3 linked regions of the Caenorhabditis elegans genome follow. The protein of the gene in region 2 interacts with the protein of the main gene of each other region in a pairwise test. Each region holds a gene or a part of one and is shown on either strand. Other genes may lie near its edges.

The links.
Region 1: the proteins of unc-42 (region 2) and ham-2 interact in a two-hybrid assay, tested with the Caenorhabditis elegans proteins (one large-scale study listed by BioGRID).
Region 3: the proteins of unc-42 (region 2) and mec-3 interact in a two-hybrid assay, tested with the Caenorhabditis elegans proteins (one large-scale study listed by BioGRID).

Annotation. Positions count from the first base shown.
Region 1 is NC_003284.9:4,552,725-4,559,915, reverse strand, and holds ham-2 (Zinc finger protein ham-2), read right to left. Parts: upstream 5,232-7,191; 5' UTR 5,223-5,231; coding exon 5,063-5,222; intron 4,418-5,062; exon of another isoform or gene 4,274-4,417; intron 3,984-4,273; exon of another isoform or gene 3,542-3,983; intron 3,174-3,541; exon of another isoform or gene 3,035-3,173; intron 2,805-3,034; coding exon 2,631-2,804; intron 2,583-2,630; coding exon 2,311-2,582; intron 2,261-2,310; coding exon 2,078-2,260; intron 1,986-2,077; coding exon 1,842-1,985; intron 1,351-1,841; coding exon 1,105-1,350; 3' UTR 508-1,104; downstream 1-507. UniProt on the Caenorhabditis elegans protein: Probable transcription factor that acts downstream of egl-15, to promote migration of the HSN motor neurons from the tail to the gonad primordium during HSN cell differentiation.
Region 2 is NC_003283.11:9,764,014-9,771,308, reverse strand, and holds unc-42 (Homeobox protein unc-42), read left to right. Parts: upstream 1-1,952; 5' UTR 1,953-2,039; coding exon 2,040-2,090; intron 2,091-2,143; exon of another isoform or gene 2,144-2,281; intron 2,282-2,959; coding exon 2,960-3,074; intron 3,075-3,556; exon of another isoform or gene 3,557-3,629; coding exon of another isoform or gene 3,630-3,642; intron 3,643-3,778; coding exon 3,779-3,866; intron 3,867-4,276; coding exon 4,277-4,457; intron 4,458-6,163; coding exon 6,164-6,220; intron 6,221-6,270; coding exon 6,271-6,446; intron 6,447-6,492; coding exon 6,493-6,664; 3' UTR 6,665-6,775; downstream 6,776-7,295. UniProt on the Caenorhabditis elegans protein: Probable transcription factor. Required for initial outgrowth and pathfinding of axon growth cones along the ventral nerve cord (VNC).
Region 3 is NC_003282.8:10,458,309-10,463,567, reverse strand, and holds mec-3 (Mechanosensory protein 3), read left to right. Parts: upstream 1-1,700; 5' UTR 1,701-1,801; coding exon 1,802-1,879; intron 1,880-2,274; coding exon 2,275-2,325; intron 2,326-2,466; coding exon 2,467-2,582; intron 2,583-2,632; coding exon 2,633-2,705; intron 2,706-3,006; coding exon 3,007-3,258; intron 3,259-3,330; coding exon 3,331-3,444; intron 3,445-3,487; coding exon 3,488-3,701; intron 3,702-4,410; coding exon 4,411-4,478; 3' UTR 4,479-4,752; downstream 4,753-5,259. UniProt on the Caenorhabditis elegans protein: Transcription factor. Specifies differentiation of the set of six touch receptor neurons (TRNs).

The sequences.
Region 1 (7,191 bases), on a different chromosome or scaffold from region 2:
AAAATTATCTAAATATTAATTCATTTTCGAGAAATATTTTAAGCATCTATTCTGCAATAACATAGATTTGACTATTTTTGGAGTTTTATATGGTTTTAGAATACTTTAAATACACTCCTGAGAAATTTTGAATAACAATTGAAGCCAAACACAAGTTCGTAAGTATTTCATCTAGCAATTTTTCGTTTTGATGTAAGAAAACGAAAGCTGCAAAAAGGGAATCAACTAGTACGAAATTTCTTGAAGCTGAAGTTTTAGACAATCGACTGAGTACATCAGGAAGAAATCAGAAATGAATCATGCTCAACCTTTCACTATGCTGATTGTGACGTCTAGTGGGTCGAAAAGGTAAAAATGAATTTTCACATCGCTTCACCTGAAAGCACATTACCCTCTGAAACGGGTTCAGTTTTGCATTCAAACAAAATGATGTTTTATGCGAGGATAACATCATCTTGTGAGAGTTTCGTTTTTGCTAGTTTTTTGTATGGCTTATTACTTCCTGCATTTTGAACTTTGAAAATTATTTATCACAAATATAATGAAATGAAATCATTGAGGGAAGGAAAAAGTCAAGGCGGGAAAAAAGGGTAATGCTATAAAAGTCAAGAAAAGGACCAGAAGAAATAAAAAAGGAAACATTTAGAACAATGAAGTAATGTAAAGGACGTTCTAGGTAAATCGCTGAGTGCATTTAAGGCTACGTTTTATTGAAGCTATTGCAACAAAAAAGTAAAGTAGATTCGGATTGTTTGGAAAATGTCCACCAGTTTCTAAGATTGCGGTAAATACAATTGTCAGGAATGAGAGCACTCTGATTTTTTTTGGAAGTTTGAAATATTTGGATGCAAAGATAAGAAGTAGCTACGAGAATAGGCATTATGTACAAAGATATAAACGACAATTAGTTTAAAAGCCAACCAAAACCGCTTTAAAAGCTGTTGGTTCTTTGATTCAGAGTATTTCGGAAATTGCTCAAAGGATTGTTGTATTTCAATGGCTCAAAATGCTGATTAGAAACAAGGAATGAAAATGACTACGTGGTTCAACTAGATTTGATGACACCATCAAAATCGGAAATAAAGAAATTGAAATCGTTTGGATCTAGGGAACCACTGAGGGACGGTTCATGTGAATCAAATTGTTCAACAACATTCTCATCGCAGGATTTTGAAATAGATTGTTCGGCCCTGGAGATGGCATAGGCATCATCGGAGGAGGCAGCATCACGGGTGGCATCGGATTCGGTTGAATTTTGCGGAGGAAATCCACTTGAACTTGCAACTCTCTAATGGTCTTTTCATAGGCACGACATTTGTCCTCAACTGCAACAAGCTTCCCTCTGGCTACCTGAAACATCATAAACTTATGTAAATTATTAAAAATATCAGTGGGTGGGGGATAACTCAGTCGGTAGTGGTGGCCGCTGAAGAACTACAGGTCACGAGTTTTTACAGTGCGCGCGCTTCTTGTAGGACACCCCTAAATTTGTGAAGCATTGGAATACATACAATTCTTCAGGAAAATTTTTTGTGATATTTGGAATCGAGTGTGTCAAAAAACCTCGAATCCGTTTTCATAAATTTATCATCACAATTGAAAGCACCCGTTTTGCTATAGGACCCTGAGATTTTAACCAGCTGAAACCTAGCGTGAACTTGAAAGTGGAGCAGTCCATGACTGGATTATCAAACTTAACCTAAAGACTAATCATATCACCAGAAGTACTGTACCTAATTCCCAGATTCTCTTCACATAGCGCTCGCAAAATGGATGGTTTTTTATTTTTTTTTTTCATATTTTAAATTATAATTCAAAACCATTTAAGACAACTTCCTAACCTGACAATCAAAGCATTTCAAACTTTCGCCCGAATGACTAGACGATCCACCACTGATGTGAGAATCCGAAACCGTTGGAGAAGGCTGATCATGGGAAATGTGGATGTTTTTGTCATCAATCGTCATTTTCAATGGTGGTTCGCCCTGAAAATTTTGAAAGTTTCATAATATGACATATTAAAGTTTAATGGGGTGAAAAACAAATTTTCCTCAAAATTTCAATAAGTTTTCCTTACATCATCGCCTTCCACATCAATATCAGCATCGTGTTCCAGTTCTCTTTTGAAAGTTGGTTCAGTCTTGACAATGACTGACCGAGGGCTGACATCACTGCTTTCCACTTCAAATTTGATGTCTTCTTCAGTTGTCTGCACTTCTAAGTCGTCATAATCGCTAATATTAGAAGACTGGATGGAATCCTTAAAATGTAATACATTTGAATTCAAAACATCAAAGAGTTGTAACGTACTTTGGACGGTGTTTGTTGCGCTGCCAGATTAAGGGCCGCCGTGTTGATGGGATTGTTGGCAAGCCACGCTGAGAGGAACTGTGAAGGACCCATGTTAGAAAGATCCAGGGGGAACATCGATTTGGAGTCGGGGCTTTTGAGCAGTGTCGGGAAAATGGATCCAATGTTGTTATTGTTTGCAGCAACTTGTAACATACGCTTTTGCATCAACAAATCAGGCGAGAAGGGTGGAGACTGACGCGGGGAGCCCGACTCGGATGTGCTATCTACAACTGCAAATTTGTATTAATGGATTTCAAAATTTGTGGGTAGATCTTTACCATCTGAACTCTTAGCTAAAACAGCCGCTTCCCCCGGTGTCCCATTTTTCAGCATACTCTGCATATGGATGTGAAGACTTGTTTTGTCGGGAAAAGCCCAATTGCAACACCGACACATAAACATTCGGGTAATGTTGTGTACTCGATACATGTGACTGCGTAGTGTATCGTTGCCTGCAAAATTGTTTCTTAAGGTTTCCTAATGACTGAACAGTGAGAGCAGTGCCGGCTCATTTCGCACTCATTTTATTATGGTAATTATCAAATACTATTTGAACCCTTCTCCAGCTTTTGAATTCATGTCTCAATGATCTAAATATTTGTCGAAAGTAACATGTAAATGGCTATTTGCCAACCCCAACTGCATTGCTATTTCCATATTCCACTTAATTGCCATTCTTTGTGCCACCGAGCCTAACTGTCTATCAATCAAATGAAATTCGCAACATTGGGACACTATACGCGCGCCCGTAAAGGCATGTTAGGTGCCAATGTGACGAATGTTCTACGACGACCCCCCTCATTTGCATGTTTGTCTGAATTTGAAAATACGCACTATAGAAAATCTATAGAATAGCGGATCTTGCCTACCGACAAAGCAGTAACACAAAAAAAAACGACAAACGCAGGGGTCAGGCTGTAAAACATTTTCATGTTATGTTTCGGTATTCTACTGGTTGATCCGCTTATTGTTGGATTGCGCACGAGTAATATAACAAATCCTGTTGATCTGCCTGCTAACATGCCGCCGTATGGATTCCACGTATAGGCGAGCGGTGAAGTAAGGTGTGAAAAAAGCTGGGTGCTTTGGCCGAAAGTTTCTTGAACGACCCCCATGCTCAGCGAACCGTAACAAATGATTGACGGCGAGTGAACAACCAATAAATTGTAATGTTGGAAAGGTGGTAGAAAAAGAAGAGGTTGCAATTTTTGTTGCGGAAGATGGGGAAAGAAGACAATCGGTGGTTTTTTTTTTACTTTGCCCGCGCGCTGGCCCTATTCTTCGCTCTCAAGCTCACTTAGCGACAGTGGCGTGCCAACAATTAGCTGATGGATGGTCATCAAATGACTGACCTTGGAGGTTCATCCTACCTTCCATTCCAAGAAAAGAAACCATTAAGTAATACATACATACCGTCGGTTATTTATGCCTCTCGCTCTCTTAGGAAGCCGCTCGGGATGGAAAGATGGGGCAATTAGACAATGCAAATAGCAGACGTGTTATTGTAAAACTGTGGCGTAATATGGTCAGAGGTGTCTTTTCAAAAGATTCTTGCACAAATATTAGAGTCAATTTGTTATTATTTAATACATGATACTGCTTTCCATTATAGCTGGAGACGCTCCAGTGGGAAATTGAAAAAAAATAACGCCGAATTTGCCAAACGACGCTACAAAAATTTTTTGAAATTTTTAATTTTGTTTTTAAAATTGGTAATTACTTTTTTGAAAGTCGTCGATAAACAGTCGCCTACATATTTTTCAAATATAAATATTCAAACATTGTAGAGATCCGAACATGCGGCATTGCTATAGTTTTCTCGAAAAGTGGCAAGAACACAGTTATTGCCACTTTTTGACTGTCAATAATGTTGGTCATTTTGGCTCTATATAAGTGGATGTTAACCATTTCCCCACTGGCACTACTCCACCTTTAAACTTTTTGCTACTAGTCCAAAAGTGCACATGGTTGTTTTAAAAGCTTAACAGATATTACTAAATAGATACTCCTAATTGACAGTCGGAGCTATCTCGGTATTTGCACACCTCCTCATTCAGTTTGCCATGCCATATAGATGTCTACAATTAAGAATACAGTAGTAGTTGGAAAGGGTGTCAATATTTAGATAACCAATGTAATTTTTTGGCGGAAAGAAGGAGACTGTATCAACCTTGTTTGACACATGCCCAATATAGCCACGTGCTAATCGGAGGGTGTGAGTTGAGTTTAAGCTTGTCAGTAAACAATGCCACTGAGCTTTCGCGCATTTCAGATTATGGAGACTTCCGATCAAATAAATGTATTGGGAGGGAGATTAGAAAAATGTAGAAATGCAATAAACTGGTAGAAGACAGAAACTAAATGCAGCAGGAAATAGAACATTCGTTCAGAATTTTAATTCAATTTTGAAAAAATAAATTAGAAAGTTAAACATCACCTAGAACCCATAATTTTTTATTTTTAGATTTTTAGATCAATTTTAAATTTTCAATAGAATAAGTTCCGTACAATTCAACAATAGCTATGTTCTCGAGTTAAGTTTCCCTCTCTTTTTTCTTATTATCATATGATAAAACATGATACAAAACTGTGAAAACATCAATAGCGGCATAAATTGTTTCGCTCTTTCTCCCCTATTGTTAGTCAAGCTCCTGCTACTCTGATTCATCTATTTCTCTTTTTTTTCTCAAACTTGCATTTTCAAACTTACTTGGAATTTCGTTGTTGCAAGTGGTACAGGTGTAGCTTTTAAAGTGAGCCTGCATCCGGTGACGACTCAGAGACGAACTGTGGCAGAATACTTTTTGGCAAATCGAGCAGGGAAATGAGCCTTTCAAATCGGGACGTTTTAGCTCTGCACGATAGGGCATTGTCTAAAAATGTTTTTGTTATTTGATGAAGCTTTTAGAAAATGGTGCTGAAATTTTCACAAAATCGAATTTGAAAGGAAACACTAACAAGGAAGAAGAAAAAAACGGTGGACAGTTTGAATGAAAGAGCGCTCATAGATGAACAAGTAGGATGGGCTACCAAGACCTCCACTACTTGAAAAGTTTTGCGTACAACACTCGAAAAGGTATTCAGACGCAGCTCTTCTCTCCGGAGACAAGAAGGTCGTCGCCGGCTGACACCAACCAGGTATTTACACCCTCACTTGATACTGTTTAAAAGTAGCGAAAAAGCATACATAGCAGCGATTGGACAATGCATTACAGTAGCTCAAGTATGGCGGGGAAGGTAAGAGTGCTCGAGAGGAGGAAGTGAGAAAATAACAGAACATTCAAAATCGAAATTTGTCACACGGCTTCTGCAATCTTAAAATGAATACTACAGTAATCCGGTGACCTGTGCTCTTGGACTAACAAAATGGCAAGCAGTAGTGCAAGAACGAGCTGAAGGCTATGACTCCCCCCGCCTACCCGATTTTTGGAGGCGGGGCATACCATGCAGAATAGAGATAGTGAGCGACGGGACGCACGGGGTGAGGGGAATGGCATCAAGCACAGTCGGGATAGTAAGTGGCAACAATTTTGGCTAGCAATTGCGAGTTGATTAGCTTTCTCAATTTTGAAAAAAAAAAGTTGGAAGCGAGTCTTAGATAGAAGCACGATGCTCTTAGGAACAGATGTGGGCAAGCTGTTCAAGCTTTTTTTTAGTATAGAACACAAGCGAATAACAGTTGGGAAACTTCTACCAAACACGGCTGACCCAAAAAAAAATAGAATGACGCGAGGGATACACCAAAAAAGCCCTCAAACCATAGACAGCATGATTGCTTGAGTTGAGGATTGCGCGCATCTTCGATTCTCGTGTTCTTTTTTCTTATTGGACGACCACAACAAAACCAGTTTTGTAAAATTGATTCGGGTTGCGCAATGCTAGAATAAACTATCCAACATCGCTATTATATTCGAATTTTTGTCTCTCTCTCGCTCCCGCTCCCCCTCTCTTCTGACTGCCATTCGACCCCATAATCACACAATGCTTTGAGGCCGGTTTTCTCGATCCGCATCAACAAGTTCAACTATCTCTATTCAATGTGCTATTTTAATTGGGCACACACTACCAAAATTTTGAAAATGTTGAGTATGACTGTTGAGTTTCTATCTATCTGTATTATTTTTTTGGGCCTACACACGCCGCAGCAACTACAGTAATTGTAGAGCGGTGACGGATAAGAGTGTGAATCTTACCCCGTTGAGATTCTCGGCACGAACAGGGATTGGCCTTGGCCGTGTGTCCAGGCGCTCGTATAATAAGGATTCACCTCCTCCCGCGTACAGGTCGCGTTCCTTTTCTTGACGGCTACATAATCAGTAGCTATCATAGCACATCTTGCCTTTTCCCGCCAAATGTCTATCTGGTATATATCTCCGAGAGAAAAGAAACAAGAGGCGAGTAAGGTAATGGAGATATAGCGAATGGATAAGAAAACTGTTCCATATACTACATCAAAAGACAGACAGGTGAACGCAAAGTGACAAGAGGTCTAGGTGGGCAAGTAGGAGGAACATATGAGAAAAAAGGGAAATGGAAATGAACATTTTTTAGAAGTTTTCAATTTTAGCAGGACTAACAGGTATTGGAAAGAATGTTTGAAGAACCTAGGAACATACTTTTATGGTCCACATATTTGCATCAATTAGACATTCAAATAGAGAATGCTCCTATTCATATATGTATTAGCATATTACAATTGTTGCGATTTTTAGTTTTTGGACTTAGTGAAATGGTTCAAAACCACGCCTTTTGTGCTAAAACGTCTAAGTATCATAATGAAACTTTTGCAATATTTAATAATATTTAGAGTCGAAAAGCGGAGAAAACTGAGTTTGCATG
Region 2 (7,295 bases):
TAGAACCGTATCTTAGAGAAATCAATTTTTGGAATGAGAACCAGCATGGGTTCAGACCTACAAAATCAACGATCTCTAATCTGATGAATAGTTTGAATGACTGGACAAGCAACCTAGATCTGGGAGCCCAAATTGACGTCATATTTAGATTACAGCAAGGCATTTGACAGAATTCCCCACGACATTCTCCTCAATAAACTGATACGCCTGGGACTGAATAAACATATCATAGTCTGGATCAATAGTTTTCTAATAGAAAGGACATTTAGAGTTAAAATAGGAAATACACTATCTACTGTAAAAAACGCTAAATGTGGGGTTCCGCAAGGCGCTGTACTCTCACCAGTTCTTTTTGGAATTTACGTTAATGAGATCCCAACAATACTGCCCGCAAATGTTAAAGTGCAGCAGTTTGCAGATGACACCAAGCTGTATGTACACACGCCAAAAGGCGACCAGATTAATAGTCTGCAAGAAGCAATAGACAGAGTAGCAAATTGGTCCGTCAGTAACAAATTGGCTCTTAATGAACAAAAAAACCGTCCATCTCACGATAGGGAAAAAACGCCAAAATTTCACTTATAAGATAAACGGCCAGGATATCAAAAAAGAGTCAACGACACGTGACTTAGGTTTTATGATCTCTCATAATCTGGATTTTAGTGAACACTGGAAAAAGGCTATTAATTCCTCGAAATTTCAAATGTCACAAATTTTTAACCATTATAACAGTAACAAACCAAAGCTGATGATCCTATTATATAAAACATTTATTGTGCTTTTGCTAGAGTACGGAACCGTTATAAGTAGCCCACCAAAGCAGTCAGATATAGGAGCCATCGAGGCAGTTCAAAATTCGTTCACAAGGCGTCTATATAGTAGGACTGTAGGCAAATACGTCTCAATAAGTGATCCGGAATATAAAACCTCGACAGAAAGAAATGAATTATTTGGGCTCACACCGCTGCAAGGACGACGTCTGACAACCGATAAAAAAATGATTTTGAAAATGTTAAACGGTAAAATAGATCTGAAAGTACCTGAATTTTTTACCTTCTCGGACAACACTAGAACGCGTTGTAAAAGAAAGTTCTCTTGGAGCAGATGTAAATTTAAAATTAGGAAACATTTCTTCGTTAACAGAACATTAAGCCAACCGTCATTCCTCAAATTTTTATCTAATTTAAACAAGGATAACTAAGTTAGGAAACGAACGACATCTACTCTTGATCAATAACATTCATTCATTACTATCCTATGATATCTCCTGTTTTTTTATCCTACTCCTTCTCATGCTCTTTTTCTACGCCTCAGGTTCTTTCACTTTGCCCATAATCTCCCAGTCCACCCTCCGACATGAATCTTTGTATGTATCATCTTTTTTCTTTTCACGCTTCTTCAAGAACGTAATAAATTATTATTATTGTTATTATTAAATGACTACAAACATTCTGATTACATTTCCCTTTTTTTAAACATATCGCAGCATTTCTACGTTTAAATAATTCAATTAATTATTTTTAGCGTAACTGAGTATTTTAGTTTAACCACAAATTAAATCCCCTTTCAAATCGAACCCACAATTTTTCCAACCCAATTTGGATTTAGTCCGTGTGTTCGTGTGGGGTTCGCCAGTTGAACTGCTTCTCTAATTGCGATTATCGCCACCCGGCTTCAGAGTCCGTCCAAACTCGATTATAGCTTTCGCTCTCCACCGATCACTGAATTCGTTGCCGTTAAGTGTAGAAGCTCAGTTGAAGAATAAGAAGACGGAAAGAAGAAGCTGTCAAATAATCTAATTTACTTGACTCTCTCAAACCAATCCAAATCAAAAAGAAGGCGTGGCTACCTAGCTCTTCTGGCGGAAAGATGGGTACGGTGGTTGGGGCCGGTGGTGAAGGAGGAGGAGCAGCCGGAGGCGGACGGCGACCAGTCAGCTGCCCCTCTCTTCAGAAGCAACCCTGTCCGCCTCCACGACGACGTCGACAACGACTTCGGTCACCCCTCACTTTCCACATTTCTCCGCTTTCACTCACACAATGAGCGACAATCTGCTGAACGGTGCGAACGGAGCATCAACTGTCTCACAGGTAATTTGCTAACTAATTCTAGTCTCCGAGGCCCTCGACGCAAACGAAATAAACAGTAATACGATTTGGTGGCGCCGTCGGTCGTCGCCGAGAGCTCCATAATTAACTTTTCTGGCGCGCACAATATTCTTCGTCTCCTGAAGACGTTGTCGTTTTTCGGAAGACGACTGGGAGGAGTCCAAGTGTGTGTGTGTCTTCCCCTCATAAATTCATTATGGAAATTTGATTGTTAGATGCTCTCACGATCAGTGGCACACACACACACAAACCTCCTCAGTTGTCTTCCGGAGCTGGTATCGATAGCCTTCCAACTTTTCTCGCCTCCAATTTCCCTAGAATTATTGTTCAGCTCGCCATTTTAATTGATGTTAAAATCAAAATCACAGACTACCGTACCATGGACATCAATAATTTAATTCACAAGAAATAACTTTAGACATGGGTTTGAAAAAACTAAAAGTCCCACCACAAACACCGCTAAAGATCTGATCTTGGTGTGTTCAATCCTAAAGAAGCTAATGTTGGACGGGGTTCTAGATAATGATCATACAATACCTCGACACTGATGTCTGATTTTTTAGTCACAAAAAAGTTAAAAAACCAACTGTATTAGTTTATATTAGTTTGTAAGTGGAACCGAACATTTTGAAAAATAGATCTTAAGCCGGTAGAATCTCTGCTGAAAAACTGTTAAGTCACTGAATTTTTATTAGTCTTCTTGGCGTTATGTTTTACTTTAAAGTTCTAGTGTTACTGTGGATTTCCTTATTACCGTCCTTCCATTAATCGATTCCAACAGATTCCTCAATTCACCTTACATTAGTATAAAAACGTTCTACTGGAACCTACATCATGATCTATATTTTCAGTTCCAAGAAAAAGTGAAAGATCTTGGAGTATCTCTTCACGATTTCACTGCCTACTATCCGAGCTCTTTGGATACAGTCTCGGCAAGTCTTCGTCCAATTTCGGATCCATCATCAGGTTAGTCTCTACATTCCATCTTCTTTTTTTCTACACTGGTAGGGAGGAGCTTCGCTTTAGCAAGGCGAACAAAATTACATCAGAATATATCAGATTTGCGGAATCATATTTGATGTCTCTCCTTCGTCGTCCGCATGCCAGTTCATTCCTTGCATCAGTGCCTTCTAGGTTGAGCAAAAGGTCCTTCTGACCCTGAGCTTCTCTTATTATTTCGTTTGATATTCTCACCTATCCCAAGATTCAGCAAAAACCACTTCAAGTGTTTTCTTTATTAGTGTTGCGCAATAGCTTCCGCCAAAGGTATCATGCTGTGTTAGTACAACTGATACCCTTACCATGTCCCCCCGCCTTGCTCTTCCCCTCCTCAATGGTACTTCACATCTCTGGAGCATGTGCCACCGAGCCAATTATGACGCCTGTTGCCAGATGCTCACTCTTATCCATCCGTTCTATTGTATCCACTAGTCTTGACTTTGTGCGCGAAGTGTCTCTCTTCTTATTTACTATTTTAGTACTTGTGTGAGCAGATTTAGGAATTAACAACTCAATCTAACAATGTATTATTATGGTAAGACAATGTAGAGAAGGGTGTCATATTTCTTTGATTATTCCTTGCAATTCACACTAAGAATTTCGAAATTCTGCATTCCTCCGAACATCTGCCCACTTTCCATTTTTAAGCCTTAAAACTGGTGATGTTGCAGATGGCGCCTTCAAAAAGATTAAAACCGAAGGACTCGGTGGCTCGGTATTTGGATCTTCGATTGCTGGGGTCACGAACACGCCTGCAAGGTGAGTATTCTTAATATTTTGGAAGATAGGGGTACGGTAGATGTAGAAGGGATTTGATGTATGTAGGTATTCAATGTCAAAATAAGGCAGTTATCTAGATTTCATTTATTGAAACTACTCCAAAAACCCAGTTTTTTAAAAGTAAATTTGGCTATTTACCAAACCCTTGACAAAATATGTTTGCGTTTATTATTTTTTTGGCCACTATTTGGCCAAATTTAAAAATTTAGAAAGCCAAATATAATTATACAACTTGAAAGAGCCAAAATTTGACTTGTGCCGCCTATATTTTCATATCTTCAATTTCTATCAATAGTCAAGTTAATTTTCAACAAACTCTACCGTACTTCTCACGTATTTTCTTGCCTTCCCCCACCCACCTAGTGCTCCACGGCCTTTCTTAATTGCAGGCTGTGTAGCCTAGAACGGCCCGAATCAGAGCGTCTCAATTCCAGGCGGAGACATCGGACGACATTCACTCAGGAACAACTTCAGGAGCTTGATGCTGCATTCCAAAAGAGTCACTATCCGGATATCTACGTTCGAGAGGAATTGGCAAGGATCACCAAGTTGAATGAAGCTCGAATACAGGTGAGCTTCGAAATTAAACTGTATGCTCAATTTGTGAGACATGTGCTCTAATTTGTTGTTTCTTTCTCTTCTTCATATTCTTTATCTTCTTCCTCACTTCTTATTGGTATTCATCTCGCGTTAATTGCTGCCTTTGGATAGTTGTCTACCACCTCCTGGTCACCTACTGTGCGCTAAATCCACCACGCACCATCACACATCTGGTAGGGATTAGATATTGAGCTTGTGAAGCTGAGAAGAACAAATTGAGACAAAAAAGTCAATCTGCCATAATAGGGAACTTATACAACTTTTAAAATTAAAAATTAACATAGATGTACAGAAATAATATATAATTGATTAAAAACCATCTTGAAAAGTTTGATGAAGGAATTTCTTTGAAGTATCCGTTTGTAGAGAAAAGAATGCACACATATTTGGTAAACGACAATGTTCAGCCGGTAATAGTTTTTTGGATTGTTCAACTAAATTGAATATAATTTTCGAATTAATCTGATTTTTTTCTGCGTTTCGAGCTTTATTTCTTAGTGCTGAAAAGATGGGTTATCGTTCCTAAATTGACGGTTTTGTGGAATTACCAATAATGTTTTCAGCACATCTTTGACTTCAAATAAGCTTCTATTTTTTGGTGATTAAGCTTTCAGTTCTGACTGTTTTCTTTGCGATCTACTGATGTAAGTTATCTTTTGCTATTTATAAAGTTCTCTGAACTTTTTTCTATTTATAGAGTTCTCTGAACTTTCTAATAAAACAAATAAAACTTTGCCTAGATTCAATGATACATGCTTAAAACTTCTCACCCTTTCTGATTTTTTTCATTGTCTACCTACTTCCATATCCGTCATACGGTATCCTTTTTTTTTAAATATTCATAATAATAATAATAACAACTCAAAACTAGTGCCTTTGAATCTCTAAAACTCTTGTTCAAAAGAAACTCTCTATCACCAGTCTACCGTAACCCATCGTCTTCTTCTCTTCCAACATCGGCGTCTTTGTTAGGAGGCAAGCAAATTGAATTATGCTCTGCCTTTGCCGCTTTCTCAATATCCTTCCTCACCACAGCTTTTCCCTTATTCTTGAGCAGTCTATCAACATTTAGAAATACAGAAAAAGGAAATGAAGGGACTTGATAAAAAGAAAAGAGAGTGTAGCGAGGAACAGAAAAGGAAAGGAAGGATTAAAGATCCGGAGACAGTAATACTTTATGACGTGACTTTTAAAAACTTTCTTTGGTTGGATTGTGTGGGTATTAAGATACTTTTGAACTTTGTAGAATCTGAAATAAATACTCCAATTATTTGTTTACATACAATCTTGTAGAATTTGGTTGTCGTATATACCCAACAGTATACATTATTTTAATACTAAATTGCGTTTTTAATTAATTACTAAATTGCGCCAAAATCACATTTATTCATTTTTCCCTGATAATTTTAAATACAATGTTTAACGTAGAATTATAAATTTAAATACATTTCTGACTCCAATTCGTAAAATTAAAAAAACAATGACACACTAATGTATTACTAGATATCTTGTTTCTAGATGTAAGGATTTCAGGATTACTGTAGCGTATTCACACTTCCTTTACTTATTGCGTAACAGTTTTGCCACCTGGCTGTCTCTACTCCATCCCTCTAGATCTGACTTGATCATACTCATACTCCCCACTAATTTCTCGAGTAATCCAATTTTGTTTGCAGGTGTGGTTCCAAAATCGGCGAGCAAAACATCGGAAGCATGAAAAACAATTGAATAAGGTAGGAAGATGACGAATATATTCTGAATTCATCAAAAAAGTTATTTACAGGCAATCAATCCCCCGCACTCATTCCTATCCAATCCAGCGAATACTTTGATGCGACAAGGAATGTACCCAGCTGCATTGAATCGTGACGGTTTTTGGTATCAATCATATCAACGACCAATGCCATACCCAACAGCTTCTCCTTCATATTCCAACTCGTTCACTAATCCCATTGCAAAGTTTGTTCGTCTTTTTACTGTGGGATAAATATTTCGTTAATTTCAGTTTCGGTCATTCCATCACCTCTTTCCAAGCTGACGACGAGTTCTACCAGAAAAGTTTGGCACTTCGAATGACGACGACACCATCGGCCGCTACAGCTGCTACCTCACTTGCTAATATTAACTACCAGCAGACACAACCATCTGAAGCTAGTACCAACCCTCCTTCAATCTAGTCATTAACATTACAACCAGACATTTCTAATCTCCAAAGTTAACAGAAAATCCAATAATTTATGATTGCGTGTGAAATCAATTGAACAAATAATAAAGAGATCTCACTGATAGACTAATGTTGGTACGTACATTTACAAAAAGACAACGGTTTCCAATAAAAATGTTGAGAAATATCACAAAGGAGTGGGAAGTCTACGAAATGGAATGTTTAACGCGACTGATGATAAATACAATCTTACAAAACTTATCTGCCTTCTTCCTGTATTAAATATCCGGATCCTTTCCCGTTCCGCGTGTCACAAAATCACTTCTATTTGGTTTTGTCTTGTTAGAGAAATTTTGAGTAAACACCAAAAAAAAATGATTTTCGTATTTTATGTGGTTACCAGCCGCTGACCGCGCCTACGGCGCGGCCAACTCGTTCTCAGCACACTGCATTCAGTAGCGTACTCGTTCTCAGCACACTGCATTCAGTAGTTCTGGTATTGTTATCACAAAACATAATAAATAAAAATGACATGAACCGCCCATTTTAAAAGGAATTTTTTTGTTTCCATTAGGGAACAAGATAAATTCTTAATAGAATTTGGTGGCGGTGAATCGTTGTGGACAATCTTAGTCGTGATTCTA
Region 3 (5,259 bases), on a different chromosome or scaffold from region 2:
AATTTATAAAAAGTTTCATTTTGAAATTTTATCTTTTGGGGCCATTTCACTACCTTATCAGGAAGAAATGTGTTTCATCAGAAATTGAATTTTTCATCTTTTCAGAAAGTGTACCTAATACCGTATCATGCTCATATTCACGTGAATAAGGCTTCTGCCCAGTTCTGTGATTCAAGGAAAACTACGAAAAATGATCTCATTTTCTTTGATTTATCACCGAGCTGGTGTGTCATCACACACAGTCTGTTTCTTGATAAAAACGCGCAGAAGTTAGAGCATTCATTGTGATTTTGGGTCTTTAATTTCTGTAAAACAAATAAAGTGACAAGTTTATCATCTGCCTATTTTATCAGTTATATGCATGGTTAGTTGCAAATAAGGGAGTAGAAATTGACTAAAACTCAAAATGAGCACTGAAACGAGGGGTTTTGTTAGTTGCGAAATAACAATTAATACAATCTGGTTGATTACTTTGTAAAAGGATAATAAAATATGCAAAACTTGGCGTATTCTGAGATTTCATTCCTAAAGACATTTATCAAAACAAATGTTTTCTGCAATTTTCTAAATTCTTGGAATTCTGCCCAGCAGCCTCTAATATCGCGTTTTACTTAGAAAATGACTTTTGGTTTCATTTTCTCATTTTCTGGCTTCTATTTTTCACAAATGCAAATATTTACATTTAAATTAGTACTTTCATTTCTACAAAGATCAAATTTAACATTATTGACAGGTTTACTGTTATCTTGTGACAGTTCCGTACTGTCAATCAAAACGAAAATTAAAACTCATGAAATATCAATGAACATAAATTGAAAAAAAAACCCAGTTGAAAGGAGAAAATAAGCGAAACACACCAACAACTGAGTAGTTACGCTCACAATTTGGAAATGATTTTGAAAACTCTCTGGACTGCATTTCAATTTTTAACAAACAATGAATACATACTGATAGTTTTTGTACTTCTCGGCATTCAGAGGCAACTTCCTGCCAACAACCTGGCAACTTATTTAGTGCCACTAAAATAAGTTGCCAAATTGTTGGCAGGAAGTTGCCTCCAAATGCCGAGTTGGAGCAAATGATTCGATATGATTTTAAGGATACCTACGCATGCCTCCTGCCAAGACACGCACCCACCTACTGAAATGTCGCGGAATTTTACCTCCCAAACTATAGATTGGGTGAAACTTCACTGTAAAAGCTTTTTTTAAGTAGTAGGCTGGCAGTAATGAAGACGTCCATACCATAATTTTTAATGTTGTATAGAAAATCTGAATTCTCAAGTATAACATTTTCCAATAATTAGCATAGTCAGAAACTCTCCACCGCCGTTCCGTTCCTTTTTTTTGTAACTATGGAGTAATAGAACAAGATTATTCAAATTCAAATTTTTATAAAACTTTACAACGTCCTTTCCATATATTCTTCACACAACATTTGAAAAAACAACAAATTCATTCGAAATGCATTGCCCATAATGAATCGACCGAAAAACACAAGTGACCGTCAGGAGATCGATAGAGAGAGCCCGTTCCAACTAGACAACTTTTTAGTGCTTATCCTTACACACACTTTCTAGCTTCATAAGAAATGCATCTATTATCGTCACCATTTGGAGACACCAGTTTTAGCGCACATTAATAATCGATCAGGGTCTAGAGACTCCTGTTGGATTGGCATGCCACGCCTACATGACATCTGGCTCTTGACGGGTGATTTGTTACAGTGAGTAGCCACAATTTCGCGCATTTTCTTCTAAATTTCACTGTTATTTGTTCTTCTGATTTATTTCATTTGAACTATGGAAATGTTAGAGTCAAAGCCTCTCAGTGCGATTAGTATGGTTATTGATTCAATTGGAGTTGATCATGAAAATCAGGTGAGTAATTAAACTTGAGCAGTTGTGAATTTCATCAGAAAACAATTTTTCTTTAAAAAAATTTAAAAGTAACAATTTGAGAGTCAGAAAAATGAAATTAACATCAATCGAAAACTTACATTGCATTTGCTTGAAAGTTTTTACAAAGACTTCTGCGTGTCAAGAAATTCCAATTTGAAATTTATACAAAATCCGCACGAGGGAAAATTTCTGTTCGACTTTCAGAGAGTCAAGTAAAATTACCGCATCTTCTAAAAATTCTGAAAGTTAGATTCTGAAAGTCAATCGTGTAAACTTTTGGTTGGTATTCATTCTATTTTCCAATCTCATTTTATCGATACGATCTCTAGTGAAACTTGTGTCTAACATTCTATAATTTTTTTAAATATTTCTAGAACAAATGTAATTGCTGCAATGAGCAAATTTATGATCGTTATATTTATCGAGTAAGTTTGCTGATGTTTGTGGATTTTTCAAACTTTCTTTGCTTTGCTTCTGTAAACAGTCTGCTCAAAATCTTGAATATTTTTCTTTTGCTTCTATAGTTCGAACAACATTTCAAGATTTCAGCCATCATTTATTTTCAGATGGACAATCGATCGTATCACGAAAATTGTGTCAAATGTACAATATGTGAGTCTCCTCTGGCCGAAAAGTGTTTTTGGAAAAATGGGAGAATTTATTGTAGTCAACATTATTATAAGTAAGCTTTAGCAAAATATTCTTGGAATTAATAAAAATACATTATTTCAGGGATCACAGTATTCATCGGTGTGCGGGTTGCAAGAAAGGAGTGTCACCGACAGATATGGTATATAAACTGAAGGTATTAAATTGGGTCAGAATGTTTAAGAAAACATTAAACTTTGAGCGAACCTATACAAAAAGTTGTCAACTTTTTATCAATTAAATTTTTGACTACTTTTGTATAAACAGTAGGAATGCCCGAAAGATTTCAAAAAGCCTACAATTTCAAATTAAAAAAAAAACCAAAGCTTTGACTAATAGTTTTGAAAGATGTAATCATTTTTTACGCTTTGCTCTTTGCTCTGACGGGATCCTGCTAGACGCACAAGCATAGAGCTTGGGGCTTTGATCGGTAAAGTTTGACTCAAAGAACTTTACAGGCTGGGCTCGTGTTCCATGTGGAATGTCATTGTTGCTCTTTGTGTGGACGGCATTTATCACCGGGGGAACAAATTCTTGTTGACGATACAATGATGACCGTATCCTGTATGTCACATTATCCTCCTCAAATGGATGACAACGCACCTGGAGCAATAGGATCTGCAGTTGATATACCATCTTGTTCGACAGAAAATCCAATTGCCCCATATCCAATTGATGAATCTTTTTCATCAGCTTTCCAAGTTAAAAAGGTATACTTTATTTTTCGTTGAAAGTTTAAAGGGATTAAATACCGAATAATGTACTGCATATTTAATTTTTAGGAGGTTGACGCTTATGGATACAACTTTGAGCATTATAGCTTTTCCGATTTCTGTGATGATGATTCACGAATGCTAAAAAGACGCGGACCTAGAACGACAATCAAACAAAATCAGGTATACAATGTAAGAAAGCGGAAATTTTCATAATGATTTTCAGTTGGACGTGCTGAATGAAATGTTCTCGAATACACCAAAGCCGTCGAAACATGCTCGAGCCAAATTGGCATTGGAGACCGGTTTAAGCATGAGAGTAATTCAGGTTTGGTTCCAAAACCGGAGAAGTAAGGAACGGAGGCTCAAACATTTGTGCAATTACTTGAGACATTATGAGCAACGTGGGCTCATTCCTCCGCCAATTCATTTTAGAAATGGTTAGTTTAAAGATTCAATCTGGAAAACGCAGTAATAGCTCTGAAATTTCAAAAAATAGATAGTGACTAGTAAACATTTTAACAAGTTGTTTTGTTGCATAAACATTAAGTTTGACACTAAAACTTTTCAAATCGGACTTTGTTCATAACTCAGATCCGAAATCTCTAAGCAAATAATTTATATAGATGAAAAAAAACTACCTTCTTTCGTGGCGATAAGTGCCTGTTTCGTGCCTACACATATGCCTACCTACTGTCTTAAAGCATGCGTAAATCTATTCCGTTCACTGAAATTCCGGCTATAACTGAAAACTCCATTAAAACTCCATAAAACAGGCAATAGATAGGCGCTTAGGCAGGGAAACATGTCTCACGTTTCTCTAATTTTCTGTATTTAAAGTTTCTCAATCATTCATTTTTGATTGTTCAAATCTATTTTCATAGAATTTTTTCTTCGAATTTCATGATGTTTAATTATTGAGTAGTTTCCCTATAATTATATATAACGCGTTTCCAATTATTGTCTGTTGTCTTGTTCGAAAATCTAAGCAACACTGATGTGGCAGTACACCAGAATACGCACAGAAAGCAAAAATCCAGAAAAGTTTGAGTTGCCACGTCATAAATCACAAACCAAATGGCTTGGCTCTTTCGAACTTTTTGCTGCTCTTGCATTCTTGTTTTTTTTTATTCTCTTTTTTCATTTCAGAAGAAATGGACACAACTGACTTCAACGCGTTTTGCGGAAATTTCGAAGAGGAAGATGATGAAGATTGATGAAGATTTTTTTAATTTTTAAAACAATATATTCCATTTATATATATATATTTCATAATGTATTTTCCTTCCCAAATCTTGAATTTCATTACATGTTTGCCAAAACTTGTGTTCTGAACTTGTTCAAATATTCACGTTTGCGCGAATAAGTAATTGAATGTCAGTCGATAATCTGATCTCAATGATTCCATTTTTAATTGTCCATGAATCATAAAATCACGAAATCTTAAAAATTCTCACACTTTGTCTCGATTCAAAAATAATCCTAAATGCTACGTTTTTGTGTTGGGTTTGTTGGTTTAAAAACGAGAAAATTTTCAATTATTCCGTCACCTTGATTGAAATAAGATTTGTTTTCCTCGTAAAAGAAAACGGTTCAACTAGCTGGTTTTCAAAAGATTTTCGAACCCTTGTAAAAGACTTATGTAACTCTATAATTAATGTTTCCGTCAAAGAATTGTGTAAATTGTATAAAAATAGTTTTAAAAATTAATGGAGGAAACTTCTTGAAAATTCAGCATTAAAATATAGTAGGTGTGTTTTTTTGTCAACGCCTTCGTGATACCTATTCCAATAACTAAATAGGTTTTTGCTACGGGTTGTAGTTCCTCGGAAAAAGAAACAATTTAATTTACTGAGCTAAGTGAACTATTTCCTCGCAACTTCCACACTTTTTCTTTCCTTCCCCAGAACGAGAAAATATTAGTTTTACCTGTAATTACTAGCTTATTTTCCAACATCTAAAACCAGCCCCCTTGAAGTACAATTAGCCAATGACGCA